Notamacropus eugenii: one gene and its partners. The protein of the gene in region 2 interacts with the protein of the main gene of each other region in a pairwise test. Links are inferred from orthologs where the notes say so. Each region holds a gene or a part of one and is shown on either strand. Other genes may lie near its edges.

The links. The genes of interacting proteins can lie anywhere in the genome.
Region 1: the proteins of KAT5 (region 2) and LZTS2 interact in binary tests that used the Homo sapiens proteins (3 or more experiments, as listed by UniProt). The two-hybrid records come from large-scale screens. The link is inferred for Notamacropus eugenii from reciprocal best matches to the Homo sapiens genes KAT5 and LZTS2.
Region 3: the proteins of KAT5 (region 2) and PLA2G4A interact in a two-hybrid assay, tested with the Homo sapiens proteins (2 studies listed by BioGRID). The link is inferred for Notamacropus eugenii from reciprocal best matches to the Homo sapiens genes KAT5 and PLA2G4A.

The regions. Positions count from the first base shown.
Region 1 is NC_092872.1:178,969,492-178,977,504, forward strand, and holds the start of LZTS2 (leucine zipper putative tumor suppressor 2), read left to right. Parts: upstream 1-4,975; 5' UTR 4,976-7,333; coding exon 7,334-7,804; intron 7,805-8,012; coding exon 8,013-8,013. UniProt on the Homo sapiens protein: Negative regulator of katanin-mediated microtubule severing and release from the centrosome. Required for central spindle formation and the completion of cytokinesis.
Region 2 is NC_092873.1:18,452,221-18,460,101, forward strand, and holds the start of KAT5 (histone acetyltransferase KAT5), read left to right. Parts: upstream 1-4,875; 5' UTR 4,876-5,145; coding exon 5,146-5,157; intron 5,158-5,262; coding exon 5,263-5,329; intron 5,330-6,061; coding exon 6,062-6,130; intron 6,131-6,249; coding exon 6,250-6,386; intron 6,387-6,758; coding exon 6,759-6,941; intron 6,942-7,078; coding exon 7,079-7,153; intron 7,154-7,243; coding exon 7,244-7,318; intron 7,319-7,405; coding exon 7,406-7,654; intron 7,655-7,881. UniProt on the Homo sapiens protein: Catalytic subunit of the NuA4 histone acetyltransferase complex, a multiprotein complex involved in transcriptional activation of select genes principally by acetylation of nucleosomal histones H2A and H4.
Region 3 is NC_092873.1:458,076,288-458,083,301, reverse strand, and holds the start of PLA2G4A (cytosolic phospholipase A2), read left to right. Parts: upstream 1-3,976; 5' UTR 3,977-4,082; intron 4,083-7,014. UniProt on the Homo sapiens protein: Has primarily calcium-dependent phospholipase and lysophospholipase activities, with a major role in membrane lipid remodeling and biosynthesis of lipid mediators of the inflammatory response.

The sequences.
Region 1 (8,013 bases), on a different chromosome or scaffold from region 2:
AAAAGCATGGGAGCAGCAAGCACACAGCCTTGTTTTTCTCCATTGCTGACTGGGAAAGCTGGAGATATTATCCACTCTCTAGAACTCATGCAAGCAAGCCATCATGAAGTTGATGTACGATACTGATGAACTCTGGGCAACTAAATTTTGCCATAATTTTCCACAAGCCTTCATAACTGACAAAAGGCTTTGGTCTGATTGACAAACATGTACGGATGTCTATTCTACTGTCATCTCTCTTGGAGTTGTCAGGCCCATATTGCCTATTCCTCAGCTCTCTCTGAAGCCAGTATGGCTCTTGGGTAGATGACTGTATTCTAGGTGAAGCATCAGCCTATTAAGTAGGGCTCTATCAAGAATCTTTCCAGCAATGTCTAAGAGAAACACTCTCCTGTGATTGTCACAGGATAATCTATTTCCTTTATCTTTATAGCAACAAACAATATAAAGATCCTTGAAGTCCTGCGGTATAACCACCTCTTGCCATGTAACTTGGAAGATTTCAGCCAGCTTTTGTATGAGCAGTTGACTCCCTGCCTTGTAAATTTCAGTTAGAATCCAATCAACACCAGGCATTTTGCCATATGAAAGGCACCTAATGGCATTTAAAACTGTTTCATTTGGAAATTTGGCTAAAATGGCAAAACAGCATGGGTGATGTCTTTTTGGTATAAATTAAAGTGAGGCAGAGTTGCACATAATCATCATCCTTACTCTTCCAGAGTCATCGGAGTCCAGTGTCAAGACAAAATCAAGATGACTGATGATGACCTGAGATGCAATGGATGACTGTTGGCATCTGTAATGTCTCCATAGTGCCTGCTTTAGTAGCCATTGTGGCCATTGGAATAAATTGTTCTCCACTCATTCCACCTGGGAAATCTTCACATACTTGGGATAGTCACTCCCTAAGACCCCTTGGTCACTCAACATAGTTTAGCCATCTGCTGAAATGGTTTACTGAGCATGCTACAACTTCTTGGAACCACAGGTGAGAGGGGGATGAATCAAACAGACACCAAAGGTGGATGAGCAGCCCTCACTAGTCTTCTCTGAACACACCCTACCCCTCTTACACTTTTATTAAAAAAGATGTTTTGATTTTTTATTTTTAGCTTTCTGTGATTGCCACCTATGACCACCAGGTGTCAGTGGTGCCCCCAATACCATGATGCCAACATCTCCTGTCCTTGTTTCTTATCCTTAGGATAGAGAATGAGGGTGTCCACCCAAGCCCCTGACCTGGAGACCCTCTATCTTTGCTTCCCAGCAGCCCTTTGAATTAGAGCCAGGAAAATGGTATCAAGATGGGGGGGGGGGCCCAATCTGACCCTGTAAACTTGGCTTTTCCTGCTCTCCCTTTCCTGCCATCATCCCAGATCCCTTTCCCATCCTACCCAAAGTATGGAAAGCAGGGGTGGTACCAGGCCAGTATCCATGATCCTTTCAAGGGGCTGGGCTCAGCCATTAGAGTCTTATAGTACATTTATGTGTATCCATCTGTGTGTTTACATGCATATCTGCAGAGTGGCAATGGCTGGTAGTACTGGCTTGATGAATGTTAAGAGTAGATCAGGATGAAGCCCCACTCCTGTTAGCCTTGCTGTGTTGGGGGTGGAGGGAAAGGACTATTCTTGGGCAGTTTTCAGGGATAGGTAGAAAGTTTTGTTGTATAGTGGGATACAGCTCCTGGTTTCTCTGGGTCTCAGGCTGGATAGAGCTGAGACTTTTGTTTTAATAATTCCTAGCTTTGAGCTGGCCAGGATGAGAGACTTAGGCAGAGACTCTATAGTACAGCCAGTCCTCAAAACTGCACATCCCTGGGAAGGGGTGTATGATTAGCCTAGCCTATGTGAACAGTATGGATTCCTCAATGGACCTTCCTCAGGATGCCCTTTGTGGAGCTTGGAGGAATTGGTAAGTAAAATCCTGGGCCACCGGTGCTGCCTCACATTCAGAAAAACCCACGCGGTACAAACCAGAATGGCCAGGGAAAAGAAGCTACACAACCTCCCTTATCTCCCCTCCCCTCCTCAGCCCCACCCTTTAAACAAACACACACCTTAACAAACACCCTGTACCCATGCAAGAACAGATACATGTTCCTGGAACCTCAGATCTACAGTGGGGTTTTCTGCAACTCTCTCACTAAAACGTGAGGGTGGGCCCAGGCAGAACCTACTTCATCGGCCTCAGTTTACTCATTTTCCTATTCAACACACATATTAAAGGCCCTTGGAAATGGGGATGAAAACGACCCAATATACTCAAAATTAGCCTTCCAGTAGGGGATAGAGTCCAAAGCCCAGACCTGGGCTAGGTGGGGCCTGATGTAGTCTGGTGCGTGAGTTCAAGTGAGAACTTGATAACTGACGGTTATACTCTGAGCCCTGTGCTAGCAATCACTATCAAGGTTCCTGTTTTCTATGGCTTACGATCTGAAAAACCAGCTGAAGGGACTGGGGGAATGCTTGGCTAAGGAGCTTTTTGTAAGGCCCTGACCTCTGCAGCCGGCTTCCAGCCCTGGGCCCTGTGCTCTCAGTCCTAACGGGGCAGTGTAATAGCTTCAGCCCCTCAGGACCGCTTAGCCTGCTGCACTCCCTCCATTCCCATCCCGTTTCCTGCTTTGGCTAGTTGGGACTTCCAGGACTACGAGAGCGCGGGGTATCTAGTCCTACGAAAAGAGAATACTTAGGGAGGCCTCGCACGGACCCAGAGAAAAGGATGGTCTGGGCCCGGCCCGAGAACGAGGAGTTCTAGCCCTGCTTCACCAGGTCTGCGAAGCTGTTCATGCCGCCGCTTACCCACCCTACCCCCACACGGCCAACGCGGGTGAAATTCGAGTCCCTCTGGGTCACTACACCTTAAGGGGGGAGGGCCCGGAGGGCCGAAGACGCGCCAGACCAGGGTCTGAGCTTGGGGACACAAACAAGGCGGGCCAGCCCCCGCCCCGCCCGAGGGACCCAGGACGCCCAGTGGGAGGCGTCCGTGCGAGGGCACGTGGAGGCGGCAGGAAGCGGCCCGCCGTGGGTAGTTTTGCTTCTAGCAGCATGGGGGGGCGGGGCGCTGTGGGCCCAAACTAAAGTTTAAGGCCTGGGTGTTGGTGTCCTGGGATCTCGGTCTTCCTTCCGAGCAGGGCCTCTAGGGCCGCAAAGTCCTTCGGGGTCCGGGTCGCGGGGGCCAGGCGGGGCCCTCACTCGCCGCAGGCCCTCGGGTGCGGCTCCGCCGGCCCCGCCCCGCCCCTCCCCTCCCGCCTGGGCAGGCGATGGCAGCGGGCGGAGCAGCTGGGAGGCCTCAGCCGGGCGGAAGACTGAGCCAGAAGCTCGGGGCAGCCCTCGGTGAGTGCGGGCTCGGGGAGGGCTCCCTCCGAGGCAGGTCGGACTGGGCGGCAGGAGGGGAAGGCCGGCGCCTGCGGGCTGCAGGAGAGCACTGGCGGCCCGGCCCGGGCCGCGCCAACTAGTCCGGAGACCCACCTTCCCCAGCCGCCCCCCGCCCCCGGCGCGCCGAGAGAGCCAGCTCGCACAAAGAAAGCCGCGGGCGCCCCCCGAGCGTGCACCGGAAGCCTCGTGCGCTAGCCAAGACCCGACGGGTGGAGGGGGCGGGATAGGGCCGGGGGCGGAGCCTGGGAGATTTTGGCCCAGTTCTGGCTTCCCGGCCGGCCAGGCGGTAAACTGGGATCACGTGTCTCCGCGCGGACACGTGGGCGCCGGGCCGGGAGGGGGCGGGGTGTTGGCGAACCCGAAGGCCTGGCTCGGCCCCAGGAAGCCTAGTGGGGGCAAAGAGCTCCCCCCGCCCATCCGGGCCCGCGGCCTTCGAGAGGGAGCAGGGCTGTAGCGAGAAGCCGTCGGAGGATGGGGCAGTGATGGGCGGAAAGCCTGGTCTGTGTCCGAAGTGGCGAGGTTTTCGGAGCGGGAGGGCTTGGGGGCGTGGCTGGTCCCGACGGGGGCGGTGCCTTCGGGGCCGGGGCGGGGCTGTCTTCCCCTTTCGAGGGAAAAAAAGGAAAACAAGACTCTTTCCAGGGAGCTAAAAATAGCCCTGAGGTTGGGAAGGCCAAGACTGCCGGGGGACCGGGGCGGGGAGAACGGCCGTCCGACCGCCCTCCCCTCCCGGGCCGAGGGCCGAGGCCTGGAGGCCCGTCACGTGGTGGTGGTGGTGGTGGGGCGATGTGCCCGGGGCTGGGCCGCGGCCGTCGGTACACGGTCTCCTAATCTCGTCTTGCTTCGGCAGTTTGGGGAGTGGGGGGACCCTTCCCTTAGACGTCTCAAGCGGGGCAGGAACACAGGAAGAGGGGCCCCTGCATCGGCCCCTGTCCGGCCCTGGGTCACGCCAGCAACTGAGGCCCCCCTTGGGGTGTCGGGGTCGCTCGGGATCCTTCTCTCCCGCCCCCCTCCGCAGGAGAATGGGAAGGGGTGGGGGGCTCCGATGCTCGGGCCGGCCTGACCGGGCTGGGAAGGGGAGGAGCCGCAAGGCCTTTTGTGCTGGTACTCGGGCCAGCGGCCAGCCTTAGGCCCCTTGGGGCGGGGGAAGGCCGTGCTGACCCTCGCAGGCCGCCCCCCACCTCTGCATGCTCTCGTGCACACCCCGCGTGGCTTCGTGGGAAGGCGTGCTCCCCACTTCTAGACTCCGGACCTGTTTGGGGCCGCGTTTGACGTGCGTGAATCCCGCGCGAGCAACAGCGCGCATCCGTGCTTACATGTGCACGTCTGTGTGCTTACAGAACACGGGTGACGTGGGCTGCGCGCGTGTCGGAGCCCAGGCGCTGGGGGCGGGGCTACCTCCCCCTTCCCCGGGCTCTGCCCCTCCCTTGCTTGGGTCAGGGAGGGGGAGGGGACGGGAGCCGGGGGGAGGGGAGGCGGAGCCCCGGTCAAGCTCTCGGGGCGTCCGAGGATCCGGGCTGCAGCGAGGGCTCCGAGGGAGCCTCCGGGGTGTGAGCATGGAGCAGCGCGGCGGAGGTGAGGGGGGCAGGCGCGGGGAGGGATGCCGCGGCGCCCCCGGAGTTAGGAGCAGCCGAGGCCCTTCGTTAGCAGACTCCGTGCTAGTCGGGGGGCGCAGAGAGGAGCCTCCCGCTCGGTGTCCGGGGGTTGGATTCCGCTCCCCCACGCTCGCCCCGCAGCCCCGCGGGTTTGGGAGGCAGCTTCCTGAACTCCAGACCCCCAGGGTGGGGGTGGGGGGCGGCGGCGCCGGCAGCTGGAGCGCGCCCAGCCTGGCCCTGGCCCCGAAGTCCGACCTGGGGGTGGGGGTGGGGGAGGGGAGCCGAGGGGCCCCTTCCCCCCGAGCAGACACAGACGCTGCTCAAAATGGAGCCTCCGATAGCCCCTCCCTCCAGCTTGGAAGGAGAGAGCGGGAGCCCGGCCCCCCCAGGCTCCGGCCTAGTCTGGACTTCCAGACTCCGGCTGCCCTGCTCGTCTCCGCCCCCTCTCCCCCTTCCACTTCTGCCAGCTTTCCGCGTCTCCCTGCCTCCCTCCCACCCAGCGCTCCGCACTTTCCTTGTGCTCACAAGGAGGCAGATGGGGAAAACTAGTCCGCCTAGTGACCCCTTAAGACAGCCACCCACCCACCATTGTGGGGGGGGGGGGCGGATCCACTCCTCTGTGCCTGGTAACCTTAAGGGTGGCATATCATCTTCTTAAAACCCCCCCACCCCCAGGAGGTGTCCGGGGCCTGAGCTGTGGTGCATCAGGCTCTCTGGTCTTCAGCTGCAGCTGGAGGGAACCTGATGCTCTCACAGAGACTTCACCAGCCCACTGTCGTGTTTTCATTTGGGGAGGGAGGGGCTGAGGTAAGGAAGAGAGAAGTGGAGTTGAAGGGCCTCCAGGAGTTCAGGTTCACCTTATACTAGATATCTGTCTCAATGCCTTTCCAGTTCTTGAGATAGTTTGATTCTGAAAATGGGGAGAGGACAGGTTTAAAAAGGGGGGGGAGTGGATTTGTATGTGGCCTTCACTGAGCGGGGAATGGGAAAAAACGTACTTCATGTGTGAATTCATACATATACAGCTTCAGTGCTTTGTGTTGAGAGCACACACACACGCACACACTCTTTCGTTTATCTCCAGATCATGTCCTGATGGCTTGAACAGATGTCTAAAACCCTTGGAGGGCTCAGGAAGGGCTGGGGTTCCAGATGGGCACTTCCTCTTCCCAACCTAAGAAGGAGATGAAGCTGAGGGTCAAGGGTCACCAGACCCTCCTCGGTTTAGCTCCAGCTAGATCCTGGGAACATTTGGAGGGGGAGAGTTAGAGCCTGTGTTTTTAAGAACTCTCTACAGGTCATAGCTGACAAGTCTTCCTTACTGGGGTTGTCTCTGTTCCTTAGGACTAATCTGATGGTGAGAGGTTTAGTAGGTGATATTGGGGATAGGGCAGGGTTTGTCATGGAAACTCTGTGTCCCTGGTGAGCTAGGAAGGGGTTCATTAAACCCTCAAATTTTCTTTGGGGGCAGAGACATCTAGGGTGGTTAAGAGTTAAATGTTTTAGGGTTCAGTCTAGCCCAACTTCTTGAAAACTGGGGGTAGGTGGTTTTTATGGGGAGGCAAATGACCACTGATTAATTTGGGGAGCAGTGCATTGACTGGTATGATTTGAGGAGGAAGGGCACAGGCAGCTCTCCGTTCCCTAATTACCATCTGGGAACAGGGATAGTATGTGTGTGGTGTCTCTCTTGCAGTGGGTAGTGAGTTTTCCCTTCCTAAGGGCTGAGCCAGAGAGACCTGCCTACCTCAGAGGGGACAAGAGCCCTAGACCTTAGTGTAGGGGCTCAGCAAGACCTGAAACCTCGGACTGGGGTTTCTGCCCTACCTGGAGGCCCCAGACTCATCTGACCAGTTGGGCCGGCTTGGCCACTTCTCTCCCCCTATCTGGCCCTTGCTCTTGACACCTTTTCCAGCCTCTCTGTACTCTTCCTCCCCTTCTGTTCTCCCATCCTCCTTCCAAGAGAAGCCTATTTCCCATAAAGTTTAAATCTATCTCAGACCCTTGGCCCCTATTGAGATAGAAGGGAGCTCTAGAGACATGAGAAGTCATGACCTTTCCCTTTAGCCTTAACAAGGAGCAAGGAACTAGACATGTCCATCTGTTTGTATGTGTGTATATGTTGGGAGGTAAGTTTTCAGGGTTTGGAAGCAGGGCTTAATAGGACACAGGACAGGCTTAGGATGAGGAGGCTTAGAATTGGGGCTGTTTGGTGGTGGCTGGGGCTTAGGGTCAAGGGCATAGAGAAGAACTGGGGATGGGGAGTTGGCAGAGGAATTTTGGGTGGGTACTGTTTCAACAGTGGGTTATAGTGGGAAGTAGAGGTCTGGCAGAGAGGCTTAGGAATGGGAAGCTTTGACCATGGCCTTCTTCCTTGCACAGCAGGTTGCCTTCAAGGCCTGTGGCCAGGCCACAGTCCTTCCAACCATGGCAATCGTCCAGACTCTGCCCGTGCCCCTGGAAGCTACCCCTGAGAGCACAGTCTCACACCCACCCCACCTGCCCACCATGGGCAGTGTGAGCAGCCTTATTTCAGGCAGGCCCTGCCCTGGAGGAGGGCCTGCCCCCTCGGGACCTCCCTTCTTCCGGCAACAGGATGGTCTACTACTTCGAGGGGGTGGTTGTAGGGCCCAGGAGCCACTGTGCCCCCCAGTACCCACCAGAAAGCCTGTGGGAAATGCTGGCTTCACATACATCAATGAGGACTTTCGGGGAGATTCACCCTCCAGCCCCTGTAGTGACACTGAGGATTCCCGAGAGCAGCAAGCCCGAAGCGCCCATCTCAGGGGCCCACCTCCAAAGCTCATCCCTGTGTCTGGAAAGTTGGAGAAGGTAAGAATGGGACCCTTCCTTTCAAATCCAAATGACTTTTCACAATGTTCAATGAAAGGAGGAGGTGGGATGGGATATAGTACCTTTGATGATTAGCTCTGCTTCCTCGACCAAGGGATTGTCAGGATATAGATAAAGGGAGCACATAGGACTTGGGAGAGGGTACCTCCTAGTAGCTAGGTGGTAGTACTTTGTTACTCTGTTTCAGA
Region 2 (7,881 bases):
CTCACAAAATCACCCATGAACAAGGAGATCTCAATTCTCTTTTGGGCCGCATAGATGCTTTTCTTAGCTCTTAATGTAAAAGGATTTTGCTGATGCGGAAATTATATTAATTCTAAATTGATTCTAAAATAAACTGGTGGAAAATTTGGATTTTTTAATCAATAAAAGTATCAGAAGAAAAAGGTGAACAATGAGCTCTCTATGAAATCTTGGTTTTCATTTTCTCATTTAGACCTGGTTGGATTTAAACAAAGCTTAAAACTGGGAACAGAAAACGTCAGAACTGGGAGGAGATTTAGTCCATATACTACAGAATATCAGAGCCTAGATAGCCTTAATAACATAGGTTATCAGAACTAATAGGGCCCTTTGTTCAGTTATGTCCAATTCTTCACGACCTCATTTGAAGTTTTCTTGGTGAAGATACTGGAGTGGTTTGCCATTTCTTTTTCCAGTTCATTTTACAGATGAGAAAACTGAGGCAAATAGGGTTAAATGACTTGCTCTGGGTCACGCAGCTAAGTGTCTGAGACCAGATTTGCATTCAAGGCGAGTCTTCCTGACTCCAGGCCCCACACTCTATCCACTGTGCCACCTTGATGCCTGAAAAGGCCTTTAGCATGTGGAATATCAGCACATAAGACTCAGGGAACATCCAATACCAAATGTCAGTGTTGGGAGTGATCTCAGAATATAGAATATATAATGTCAAAGCTTAGATGAATATAGAATATCAGAGCTAGGAAAGACCTGAGAACATAGGACATCAGATATGAGGAGACCTTTGATGGTCAAAGCTAGTAAGGGCCTTAGAACATAGAATATCAGAGATGTGAGTGACCTTAGAACACAGAATGTTAAAGTTTACCAATGATCTCTTAGCAGCCTTTTCTCATTCCTTATTCTCCTTGGCTTCTCTGCAACCTTTGATAATAGTGGTCACTCTCTCCTCCTTGACACTGTTTCCTTTGTTGGTTTTCAGGACACCTTTCTCTCCTGGTTCTTCTCTGACCATTCTTTCTGTCTCTTTTGCTGGATCCTTCTCCAGATCATGCTCTCTTCCCTAGGCCCCTCCTCTCTTGGACCCTCTTCTCTTCTCTCTCTCCATTTCACTTTGTGATTTTATCAGTTTCCATGGATTTAATTACCACTTTTATGCCGATGATTCTTAAATTTACCTATCCTGCCTTAACTCTGCTGATTTCCAATTTCATATCTCTGCCTTTCAAGGCATCTTGATGTCCAGTAGACATCCTAAACTCAGTATTGTCCAAACCATCCCCACTTCCTACTTTCCTGTTACTGTAGAGGGCAACACAATCCTCCCAGTCCCCCAGGCTCCCAATTTAGGAGTTATTCTGGACTACTCCCTCCCTCCCTTTCCCCCATCCAATATGTTGATTTCTCCCCCTCCAGCCTCCTTGTTCATTTCACCTCTGGTTGATTTCTCCTCTCTAGCCCTTCTTGTTGATTTCTCCTCTGTAACACCTCTGATTGATTTCACTTCTGCAGCATCTTCCCATTATACCCCCTTCTCTCCTCATCACCACAAGCCTGGATTAGTTGCTGGTGAGTCTGCCTGCCTCAAGTATCTCCCCACTCCAGTCCAGCCACCATAGAGCTGCTAAAATGATTTTCCTAAAGAGCAGGTCCTACTTACTGTTTTTGGTGTTTGAAGCTCCTATCTACTTTTCCAATCTTCTTACACCTTATTCCCTGACTTGTACTCTTTGATTCAGTAACACTGGCCTCTTTGCTGGTCCATGAACAAGACCCTCCAATTCTTGGATTCAGGTACTTCCTCTGGCTGCCTCCTGTGCCTGGAACATTGTCTCTCCTCATCTCCGACTGCTGGCCTCCTGACTTCTTGTATGTCCCAACTAAAAGCCCATCTTCTCCAGGAAGCCTTTCTCTTTCCCTCTTAGTCCTAGTGCTTTCCCTCTGTTAATTATTTCCTATTTTTCCTGTTTATATGGCATGTTTGTACATAGTTTGTTGCATGTTGGGGAAACCCCTAAAGGGATTGTGAGGTCCTTGAGGGCAGAGACTATCTTGCCTTTCTTTGTATCCCTAGTGCTTAGCATAGTGCTTAATTCATGTGTATTGGCTGTCTGAGAGTTTACAACATAGACTATCAGAGCTAGGAAAGACCTTAGAACCTCAAATGTCAAAGGTCAAGCTTTGACTTTAGCACAGAACATAGCATTTGTTCATCAGGTAGGATGTCTCTGAGAAAGCTTATCTAAGGTGGGAGCATCTTTAGAACATACTAAGAGATGGTAAGAGGCAACACAGTATGTGACAGCAGAACATGGGATATCTGAAACTGAAGGGAACTAATCTGAAGCGTGGATGGGTATTACAACATAGACATGGATTGTTAGTGTATGATGGGAGGGACCTGAGAACAAAACCTATCAGAAGGGACCCTTGAATAAAGACTGCTGGAAATGAGGAGGGCATTTGAAGAAAGAATGTCAGAGCTTTGAAAGGCCTTAGAGAACTGCATGTCAGGGCTGGCTTGGACCTTAGAACATAGGACTTGCTGAAGTGGATGGGACATTACAGCATCAAGCAGAGAATATCAGACTAGCAGGGACCAGAAACTGGAGAACCTAAATGCTATTAGCTAGATAACACTGAATATCAGAGCTGAATGTATCCTTAGGGCAGTTTGGTATAGTGAAAGAAGCATGAGTTGGGAAATCAGAGGAACTGGGTTCAAATCCCACCTCAGCCACTGAGACTTAACCTCCCTAGACCTCAATTTCCTCATTAATAAAATGGTAGAGGTGTTAGACTAGTTGATTTCTGAGGTCCCTTTATCTCCAGATATGTGATCCCAGAAAGACAAGAATGTCTTACCTGGGAGAAGTCTTAAAAAGTAGAACAGAGAATGTCGAAGCTTGTACGAGCCTTGGAACATGGACTGTCAGAGCTTACTTAGGTCACACAGTGTAGAAGAGCAGCGTTGGGACGGAACTTAGATTGTAGATTATCAGAAAGGGGAAAGAAATTAGAACACAGATTGTCAGAACTGGGAGGGTGCCTTAGAACATAGAGGAAAAAAATGTCTAATCATGGTTTTTAAAAGACAAGGCTATGGAATGTTATCCTGCAAGTCCGCTGAGTGTTTATTAGTCTATTACTGTATGCCAGACACTGTGTTAAGCTTGGGGGATACAAAGAAAGGCAAAAGACAGCCCCTACTCTCGAGGTGTTACAGTCTGATTAGAGACAACATACAAACATCATACTGTGTACATAAATAGAAGGTATTTCACAGATGTTAAGCACTAGAATTAAAGGGGATCAGGAAAAGCTTCTTGCAGAAGGTGGGGTTGGAGTTGAAACTTGACAGTTTCTGGGAATACCAGGAAGATAGGGATGAAGAGCGGGGAGCGTTGTTACTTTCTCTGGCCTTGGAAAAGTCTTGCTAGACAGTACAAAACAGAACAGAGAATGTTAATCCTCAGAGAGACTTGAAAACCTAGCACAGGGTTTCAGAACTGGAGGAGACCTTAGGACACAGAACATAAGAGATGAAAAGGACCTTGGAATCAATAAACCAACTGCTTGCCAGGCACTGTTTGGGCACTGGAGATACAAAGACAAAAAATAGAAGTTCTTTGTCCTCAAAGATCTGACATTTTATAGGAGTCTAACATGTACACATGTAAATATAGACCTATCTATATAATGATGCCTGATAGAGAATTTAAGAGCATAGAATGTAGACTGTCAGGATTGGCTGGGCAGGTCAGAACTGAGAGGGACCTTAGAATACAAAACATGAGAACTTGGAAGGGCCTCAGAGGGTAAATTGTGAGAAGTTGGAGTCACCTTAGACGTCCTTCAAGAAACTGAGACGGAAGGAAGGGATGTGAACGGACCAAGGTCACACATAACCTCCCAGCCTTTGCAGCATTCCGTTTTCACATCCCTTCATAAAACCACCAGCTGCTGCTGCTCCAAAGGAGCTCATGATCCATTTCCTTCTTCGGTTTAGAAACGTCAAATTGACAACTGCGTTAAAAATTCAAAAGCACATTAATTTTGTTGAAATACTTGTGTTTACGGTGGGAGAGATCCAGGATGAGAACTCACCGCCATAGACAAAGGAGGCCCGTTCATTCCTTGTGATGGTGGCAAAGGTATTCCTCCGTGGTCTCTCCGGTCAGTATTTGCTCCAATTCATTTTGGTAAATCAAAAACAAAGCAATCACTTATTTTAATTAATTGATTTATTGACGGAAGCAAAAAGACCTAGCAAACACGAACTCTGCCTGCGGGGGATCCTCACAACTCACTTGGGACAGGCCCCTCGGCCCAGGCTCGGTTGTCCAAAGAAGGTTTGGGGGAGAAACAGTGGTTGGCAGCGCCCTGGGTTTGACATGCCTCTGCGCTGCATCGTGACTGGGCACTCTGGCAGCGAAATGCCATTCGATCTTCACAACAACCCTGGGGGCCGGGGGTGGGGGCAGGTGCCGTTAGGGCTCCGTTAAGCCGAGACGCAGTGATGTGCCCAGGGTGACAGGACTAACAAGGGTCTGGGCACGACTGGAACTCAGGCCTTCCTGACTCCAGGCGCCCAGCCCGGCCAACCCCGACCCTTTACAGAGGGGGAAACTGAAGCCCAGACTGGAGAGTGACTTGTCCAAGGTCGCTAAGGCAGCTCGGGTGAGCAGCCGCATTCGAACCCAGTGCAGGCCGGATGGAGCACCGCCGCCGCAGTCTGCTGCCCCGCAGGCCGGCCCCGCCCGCACTTCCAGGACCCGGCCGGAACAACAAGCGCGTCACGCGCCCACGTGACTGCGACGCGCTCGAACTACGTGGCGTGAAGGACCCAGCTCTCCTCCAATCAGGCAGCGAGGCGCGAGGCCCCGCCCCGGCCCGGAGCCGGCCCGGGGCCTCGAGGTGGTTCCTGCGCCGCTTGCCCAACCCGGAGCCGAGCGCCCCTGAGGGCCGGCCGCCCTCCCCGCTTGGGCCGCGTTCTTGGCCGCGGGCTCCTCCCGCCCCCGGTCCCCTCCTCCCGGAGCCTCCCGCAGCCCCACACCCTCAGAGCTGCTAGCAGGGAGGCGCCGGTACGCCGGATGTGACGTCACCCCGCGGAGCCGGAAGCGGCTCCTGAGGGAGGGAGGGAAGATGGCGGAGGTGGTGAGTCCGGGGCCCGGCGCGGGGCGGGGCGAGGCGGGGCGGAGGCATCCGCAGGACGGCGGCGACTCCCCCGGCCTCCCCCATTGACCGCGGTGTCTTCCCCAGGGCGAGGTCATCGAAGGCTGCCGCCTGCCCGTGCTGCGGCGTAATCAGGATAACGAGGATGAGTGGCGTGAGTGACGGGGGGCGGAGCCAACGGGCGCCGTGGAGGCGGGGCCTGGGCGCTGGAGCCCTGCAGGGAGGGCGGGGCTTGGGGAGCGAATAGGCGTGGTTCCCCTGAGGGGCGGGGCTGAAACATACCTCGGAGGGAAGGATAAAGAGAGGGCCAGGGCTCGGGGAGGGAGGGACGTGGTCTGAGAGACTCCGGGGAGGGGGCCTGGCCAGAGGCCAAGAGACCTCCTGGGAAGGGATTAGAGAGGGGGCCTGGGGTAAATGGCAAAGGGGCGTGGCTAATTTAAGGATGGAGCCTGAGACCTCCCAGAGTGGGGCTTGGTGGGGTGTGGCTAGAACCTGAAGACTCCACCCACTCATCCACCCACCCCCGGTCTTGGGAGAGGTGAGACTTGGTCTCCAGTTTAGGATGCCTCGGGTGGAGGGCAGGGCGGGGCTAAGGACCCCTAGGAGCCAAGAGGCGGGGCCAGAGTCCTTGGCACCCCCCCTCTCCAAGGGCATTCCAAGGGCAATCTAAGGGCGGGGCCAGGGACTGGTGGGGAAGGGGCAGGACCCAAGCTAAGGAGAGGGGGTGATCTGGGCATCCTGGGGAGGGACTTGGAGGGGGAGAGAAGATACTTTTCTCCAGAGGGTAGAACCAAAGCAGGGGGTGGACATGGAGGAAGCTGGCTCCCAGGGACAAAGTGGGGTCTGTGCCCAGCACCCCTCCAAGACTCCTGCCTCTCCCTCGCAGCTTTGGCCGAGATCCTGAGTGTGAAGGACATTAGTGGCCGGAAGTTGTTCTACGTTCACTACATAGACTGTGAGTGCCACGCCCAGTGGTCCTTGGGTACAGGGCGGGTATCACAGGCATCGGGGGTTGGGAGGATGAGAAGAGCCCTGGGGGACACCTTACATCAGAACTTCTCCACTTCTGTGCAGTCAACAAGCGCCTGGATGAGTGGGTGACCCATGACAGGCTGGACCTAAAGAAGATCCAGTTTCCTAAAAAAGAGGCGAAGACCCCCACAAAAAATGGGCTCCCTGGGTCCAGACCGGGCTCCCCTGAGAGGGAGGTGGTGAGTAGAAGCAGTATCCAAATCAACCTGGAGACAGTTCCCAGGAGGATGGTCAGGCCCCGCCCCCATCTCGCTTGTCCCTGTCGTGCTTAACCCATGGTTTTGGGGCTCCTGTGCCGCAGGCTGAGGATGAGAAGGGGAACAAGGCAGCCCTGCTATAGTGGCCGCAGCCTGGAGAGGCTCTGTAGAGATTCAGGTCGGGTCAGAGGGAGGAGGTGGTGTTACTGAATCTTAGGTTTCAAAATTCAGTCACCAAACCCCACATAGCTGGGGTGGGAAGCCAGCCCAAGGGGAAGGGGTGGGGGGGTGAACCCACCTGGCTGATGGGGGCCCCCTCCTCCCCTCCCCCTCGCTCCCTTCCCCCTCCCCCAGAGGAAGACCCTGGACCTATCTCTACAGCCGGCTTCGGCCCAGGCCAGTGGGAAGACACTGCCGATCCCGGTGCAGATCACGCTCCGCTTCAACCTACCCAAGGAGCGCGAGGCCATCCCCGGCGGCGAGCCTGACCAGCCCCTCTCCTCCAGCTCCTGCCTGCAACCCAACCACCGTTCCACGGTACCCTCGGATTCCACTCTTCACCTGGAGCTCCGGAGCCCAGCTCCCTCGTCCCCACAGTTCCTTGTGAGCTCGCTTCCTTCCAAGACCCAGGTCCCCTGCCCCTTTGACCCACCTTTCTCGGTCTCTCTCTGCAGAAACGGAAAGTCGAAGTGGTTTCACCAGCAACTCCCGTGCCCAGCGAGACAGCACCAGCCTCTGTCTTCCCTCAGGTGTGTGCTTGAGACCCCCTTGGTGCCCCTGAGCCCATGCCCTTGAGACCCTCAGCTCATTCCTTCCTTCCCCCTCCTGTGTCTCCACAGAATGGTTCAGCCCGGAGGGCACTGGCTGCCCAGCCAGGACGGAAGAGGAAGTCCAACTGTCTAGGCACAGATGAGGTGAGTCTGGTAAGGGTGGAGTAAAGGGAGCCAAGTCAGGGGAGGGTGGCATGCTCATGCCTTTCCCTGCCCTGTGGCCACCGACAGGACTCACAGGATAGCTCGGACGGAATCCCGTCGGCCCCTCGCATGACAGGCAGCTTGGTGTCTGACCGCAGCCACGACGACATTGTTACCCGCATGAAGAACATCGAGTGCATCGAGCTGGGCCGCCACCGCCTCAAGCCCTGGTACTTCTCCCCATATCCCCAAGAACTAACTGCCCTACCTGTGCTCTATCTCTGCGAATTCTGTCTGAAGTATGGGAAAAGCCTCAAGTGTCTGCAGCGTCACCTGGTACGTCATTGGGGCCTCCCTCCCCTAGCCTCCTGTCACTGTCTGAGCACCTACTATATATGCTACACACTGTACTAAGCTTTGGGGAAGCAAAGAAAGACACAATCTCAGTCCTTGTCCCCAGGAGCTCACAATCAAATGGGGAGATATGTGCTTGAGTCCTCATGTCTGATGAAGAGAGAGTAGGTGGGAGAGAGCCTTAGAAGGGAGAGGCCAAGCAGTGGGTC
Region 3 (7,014 bases), about 440 Mb from region 2:
TTGAAGTTAAATGAATCAGTACTTGGCTTGTTCCATAATTCTTCTTATGGTTTGCTGTGGAATTAGAACTTTAATGACTGTATCAATGGCCTGCTCTGGCAAAATTTGAACTTGTTAAAATTCATCTTCAGCATCCTCTATGTTTGTATGCTCTTCCCTAATTTGATGTCTCTGAAATTAATCCTAATTCTACCCCTACCTATCCTCTGTTGTGCTGTATCATGCAAATCAGTCTTCTCTAAATCATTCCAAGATTTTGATCTTTTTCATTTCTCCACTCATCAAAATTTACCCATTCTTTGTCCTGCCACCACAGGTCCAGTGATCTCTGCTCATGTGTTAGTGGACGGTAGTTAATGAGCCTACATTTGCCTATCTGCAAAATGGGAAAAATACTAGCACCGACCAATAGGGTTGCTGTGAGGATCAATGGCTTTACAAACTCTGAAGTCCCATAAAAGTGGGAAGTATTATTCTTCAGCTAAGTTTAGTCTCTAACACATTGGAAGCTAGTGGCCTGAGCTCACTATTTCAGGACATGTGGAATGATCACTGCTGCCCATCTCCCACAGCCAACACTATGTGTACCACTCACTTTTCCCTTTAATCACATCCTGTATCATATTGTTTACTGTGTTTCATATCTCTATGTCTTCTCTTCCTGAGTAGATCACAAACTTCTTAAAGATAGACAGACATTGAATTATATAACAGTAGTAATGCAGCGATAATCACACTTTTATACTTCTTTAAGGTTTGTGAAATACTCTTATTATAACAGGTTGGTTTTTTGTTTTTCTGTCAAGGCAGTTGAGGTTAAGTTACATATCCAGGGTCACACAGTAAGTGTCAAATATCTGAGGTCAAATTTGAACTCTGGTCCTCCTGATTCCAGAACTGGTACTCTATCCACTGTGCGACCTTGCTGCCCCTTATAAGAATGTTATGAAGAGGTATTATAAGTGTAATAGGGGACTGGCTCCTGGGGGCCCATTTCTGGGAGCCTGTCCAACAGATTTCTCCTGCTGTCAATTCACATGGTAGTTTGGCTGAGTCAACTTCTGAAAGCGTGTGATGAGGTGGAGGGCCCCAGCACTCCTCTACAGAGAATTTGCAGAAATTCTGCAATTGTTTCCTGTTTGTTTACTGAGTGGTGAAGAAAGATCTTTTGATTGGCTGCTGGGCTGGAAGTGAATATTCATAGAAAGGACAGTAATTAGTCAAATCAACTTCCCTTTTCCTTGATAGTAATCAAGGGAAAAACTTGCTTCGAGCCCCCAGATAGCAACAGAGGCCTCAGACCCTTATCTACGAATCTGGGCTTCTGGGTGGCCTTGAACATTTGTTAATTTTCTGTCCCTGTCATGTTTTAGCCTTTCTTCCTCTTAGGTGAATGAGTGTAGGGGTTGGAATGGACCAGACCAATGGTTTTAAACTCATCTAGAAACAAGGTCCACCAATCCATACATAAGATCCCTGTGGGTTGCATATTTACTTAGATTTAACATGTAATACTCAAATCCAATTCAATTGCAAGTCATGTCATCATCTTCCTGATGTCATGGTCTTCTTTGAGAACAAAGGACAAACCACACAATGTTTTGTTATATTTTAATTTATTTTGTAAATATTTGCTGTTTTATTTATTATTGAAAAATAAAGTTTAAATTATTTACTCTCTCATTACTATTATTATTATTATTTAATAAATAAAATTTAAATGAATTGTTTACTATTTGGTTAAATATTTATTTTTTGTTTGGACAGTGCTCCAGAGTGTTATGCAGCTCACTGGCCAGATTCTTGACACTTCCAGACTAGGCTGCAACTCTGTGCTTTGAAAGAGCCTCTAGATGTCTAGGAACTTGATTTTGTCCCATAGTTTGGCTAGCTAAGCCCAGCGAGAAGTGTAGCCCCAAGGAGTAACCTGAGGGATCCATCCCAGAAGTCATTTACCCCAGGCAGTCAAGGGACCAACCACTCCAGAGTAACTTGTTCATAAGCCACATGGCACCCAGAATGGACATTGATAGGGCAAAGTCTGGTGGCAGCACCTTAAAGTTGAGCTCATTCTCCACAGGGACTGAGGTGGTAGAGGGAAGACTATGTCTCAGTTAAAGGGAAGGTATTTTCCTTTGGTTCATGATAAATTTTCTCAGTAATTATACTGTTTTAAGAACTAGTTGATTTCAATTATTTATTGATGAGATTGAGAAGCTGTTAAGTGATATTGGGCTGCTAATCACTAGCAGTGGTATTGGCGGAATAAATTAGAATAGGGGTCAGATGATACCATTAGAACCTCTTGAGGTTACCCCTAGAATCCTTGAATAGAGTGGTGATGCAGTTGAGTTCTGGTGACCCAGCTCTTCAATACAAGGAGATCTGGTGTTGAGAAAATACGTCCAGAGCTTAAAGGACTACATAAGTACCCCGAAGGGTAGCGAAGTGGTGTAGTAGATATAGCACTGGGTCTAACGTCTGGAAGACCTGAGTTCAAGTGTGGCCTCAGATACTTACTAGCTGTGTGACTCTGGGCTAGTTACTCTACTATATTTGTCTCGATTTCCTCATCTGTAAAATGACCTGGAGAAGGAAACAACAAAGCAGTATCTTTGCCAAGAAAACCCCAAATGAGGTCACAAAGAGTCAGACAGGACTGAAATGACCAAACAATAGGTATCATGAAACCTATTTTACATTGTAGATATGGAAAGGTAATGTGATAGGAGTGACTAAAAAGTTAATCTAGAAACAAGGAAGAACTGTGTTCAAGTTATGTCTGATACATACTGCCTACTTGACTGTGTGGGTACCTACTTGCACCATGCCAATGAAATCTCTATTCTAGTGCCCTATTCTGCTGATGAAGAAACATGAGGCTCAGAAAGGTATAGGGACTTGCCCAAAATCAAAGGACTATGAAGTGTCAGAATTAGAGTCTAGACCCAGCTCCATATCCAGTACTCAACTTTGTGTCTCCCCCAGACTGAAGCATTTGATACTTGTTCTAGTTAAATTATATATTGAAATAGTCTTTCTTTCTTCACTTCTGCCTGAGGGAGGAAAGATAATTAGAGCAAAATAAAAGTAACGTTAAGTATGAGACCTCTACTCCCATTTTCTTTGCCACTTATACGTAATAAAACATTTCACCTTTCAAGGCATGCTGGTCAGTCTTCAGACCAAGACCTTATGAAATTGAAGATGTGATTCATCTTTTGAGAGATCTGTTAAATAGATTTGTAATGAACCCTCAAATTCAGCCTTTAATCAGGTTGAGAAACCAATCAAGAACAAGATAATAATCCAGGAATTGAATCTAGAAGCCCTGTGGCATTGGGGTTAACAAGGAATTTTCTTTGCAAAGAGTAAAGAAGAAAACACAAATGCATATTGCCACTGATTAAAGTACCAAATGGAAGATATGTGTTTGAATACGACGAATAGAAAGCATAATGTTTATGGATCCCACGTCATCAATGTGTGGCAGTCAGACTTTAATTCAACAGTGGACATTCTTCAGTATAGGGGCCCAAGTTTTCTGGAGTCAGCTTGGATGCTCTGAACTACTTAGGGACTTTGGACCAGTTTAAATACTCTATATGAATTGATTGCAGTTTGCTTTTTAAATTCAAATGACAGCTACTTGGCACTCAATTCAGATGTTCTTTAAAAGTCAAAATTATAATTCATTACTTAGCTATCAAGCTGCCTTGCTATATATAGTTATAAAAACAGAGGAAACAGGGGTTACTTCAAGGAACTCAATGGTAAAAAGAATTTGTTTACGTATATTTTATATTCTTGTGGGTTTTTTTTTTTTTGCATTGCTTCGACAACTTTTCTGGGTTCACAGGCTTCACATTTCTAGACTGCTTTTCTAATTCCCTGCTAACTTTTCCCCTTCTTCAATTCCACCTTAAAACATCTGCCCAACCAGCTAGACCAGCCCACAACCTAGCCCCTCCCACTTAGATGATTTTTTTAAAACTTGTCCATACCCAGGCACTGAAAAAGAAGCCTTGCAGAAAGCTAAAGGGATAGACCGATCTGAAGATTCTAGTATACATTCAAGAACTGTAAGCAACATACTTACTCTTCCTTTTTTTTTTTTTAAGAAAAAAATTCCATTCGTTGCTAGTTTGTTAAATTTGTCAGGATAGAAAACCGTGGAAGGAGGCAAAAAAAGGCACAAGTTTTTCAGTCTGCATGTGACTTGACTTTTGAAAGGGGAAGCAGAGCCTTGAGAACGCCTGTTTCTTTTTAGCAAATGTGTACTTGTTTTACGAGGTCTATGAAAAAGAAAATAATCAGAAAAGGTGCTTTACCTAGCTTGGAACCTTGAAAGAAGCTTTTAAAGAGCAGTTAAGGTAGTGCTGTACCACTTCCACGTGATTGTGTAGCCCAATGATTGCTGTTCCTTAAACTTTAGCACTGTGACTACTTGACAACTCAAAGACTCCTAGGAAGAGATGGATTATATTCTCTTATTTGATTCTCTCTGAGTTTTTCTTCTCTTTTCCTTGTTTTCTTCTAATTTCTTCCTTTCCTCCTCCTTCCCTCCCCCTTTCTCCCTTTGTTCCTCCCCTTCCTTTCTTCCTTCCCTTTCTTCCTCCCTCCCTTCTTTGCTTCCTCCCTTCTCTCCCTCCCTTCTTCCTTCCTTCCCTTCTTCCCCCCTTCTTCCTTTTTCCCTCCCTTCTTTTCTCCTTTCTTTCTTCCTTCCTTCCCTACTTCCCTCCCTCCTTCCTTCCTTCCTTTCTCTCTTTCTTTCCCTCTTTCTTTTTGTCTTTCTTTCTCTCTTTCTTCCTTTCTCTGGAAATTCCAGATGTTGCAACATGAAAGAAAGCAAAGATTAATGTAGGATCTGGACCAGTGATGTCATTGGTACTGTGAACTTTCAGGTGATGTAACTCTCTACCAATGAAGATTCTCTGCAATTTATAGTATGAGAATTGTCTAGAGCACCAAAAGGGTAAAGTGACTTATCCTGAGTCACATAGCCAGTACCTGTCAGAGGCAGGATCTGAATCCAGGTCATCATGACTTCAAATTCTTCTCTCCATCCATTATTTCACTGTGCCCCTAGACTTAAAATGATTTTGGCAATATTTGTTTATGATGGAATATCACCTATTAGTAATAATATAGATGGTCAAAACAATAATTGTAATCTGACTTGCAGTAACTACAGCACAGATAGAGATGTTTGAAGGAAGATGAATAACAACAATTTTGTAATTTGAGAGTGGAAAATGATTTAGGAATTCTATTTTGGGGTAAGGAGATTTAAGGAGGGAAAGTAGAAAAAGTTGTTTTAGAATGGAATAGGCAGAAGCCATGAAAAGGAAAGAGAAAAATATAGATTTTGTTTTGTGGCTGTTTTAATTTAATTTAATATTGTTTGCAGTTTGTTAGTTGCCTTTCACAATCAAAATTATTTTATTTCTTAAAAGAAAATGTAAAATTCTTTTCTTATTTGTGTTAGTTTGTTGGATTAGGTGATTTTCTGTGCATATGTTATCTTGCTCCATATGTATTCTAAATATAGGTAGAGATTTTTTTTAAAAAAAAGTAGCTTGGGACTGGATAAAGATAAAATACATTCTTTGGATTTCAAAATAAGTTGGATGATAATAGGAAAGACACAGGATTGGGGGTCTGACTAGTTAAGGTCTCATCCTGGTTCTGCCATTAATTTTTTTTTTGTGACATTTGCAAAACTATTTAATGAGTGTAAGCCTCAGTTTCCTCATTCGTAGAATGACATGGTCATATTAGATTAACATCTAACATGAATGATCTATGATTCTACATGATGTAATCTAACTTTACCACAACCTAGAATTATATTTTAATTTTACTTAAAAATAACCTTATCATAAAACACAGAAAAAGAAATTTGCACCTGCTATTGGTGGATGACAAAAAATGATGTATCAACTAAAGCTGGCAGAGCATGCTGGGATCAGCATTGCACCATTCATTTGTTCTGGAAGATGCTTTCTATCTAAAAAAAAATGAGTGTCTAAGAGATAGTAAAAATGCTCAGACTTCAGCAGCTAAAATATCTCACTGCTCCATGTAAAGCAGTTCAAACAAGATTAAGAGGGAATGTTATTAGGAAAACTGGAAATGAAAAATAACAACACTTCTTAGAAGGTTTCACATTTTAAGTAGCCCATATAGCCATAAGCAAGCCTGTTTCTCCAGTTCATTTTAGGTAAGAGATTGGAATCCTCCCCTTTAATGGAGCATTGTAAGAGTTAAATGGTAACTGAAGCAATTCTTGTGAAATGTATAGAGAAGTAAATGTTTAATCTGTATATGCAGAAAGCAGTTTACAAACTTCCTGTAGAGGAAGCACTTTTTTAATTGGAGAAAATAGAGCTCCTTCTGAACAATTTAAGTAATTTAAAAGTTTTTGACAAGAATTCTTGGTTTAGGGTGTTGGAGAAAAATTGTGAAGCAGATTCCTGAATCTCTGACAATGTTTAGTAATAGAAATAAGTGGTTCTTATTCCTAGCCAACAGTAAGTCCTGTTAGCCCTGCTTATCTACAGAGTGTGGTACTTTCAAAATTAGAACACTTTAAAGGCAGGGAGTAAATGGAATAGCTTAAGATTATATCCATTTAAAAATAGTTTGCAAGTAGAAAAGAGGAAGACCTAGAATTAGTTTGTGGTTCATTTTCCTTAGACATGTCTTACACTAGCCAACTCCTTTTTTTTTTTCCATAGCTTTAGAAAATAAAAACTAGAAGCTTTGTGTCATACGAAAATATTCTCCAGAATGTTTTCATGACACATTGAATTACTGAAACTTACAAAGAACTAGTTAAAAAGAACTAATGGTATGGAAAGGAAATTTTGACCCCAAATAAAGTCCTTAAAGGCCCCTCTTCCTCTTACTCATTCCTCCCAGCAGTGCAAGGGCTTCTTGTATTGCATTTTAGACTTTAGTGACACAGCAAAAAACAGGACTTTTTGATATTCTTCTTCTAAGTAGATCAGA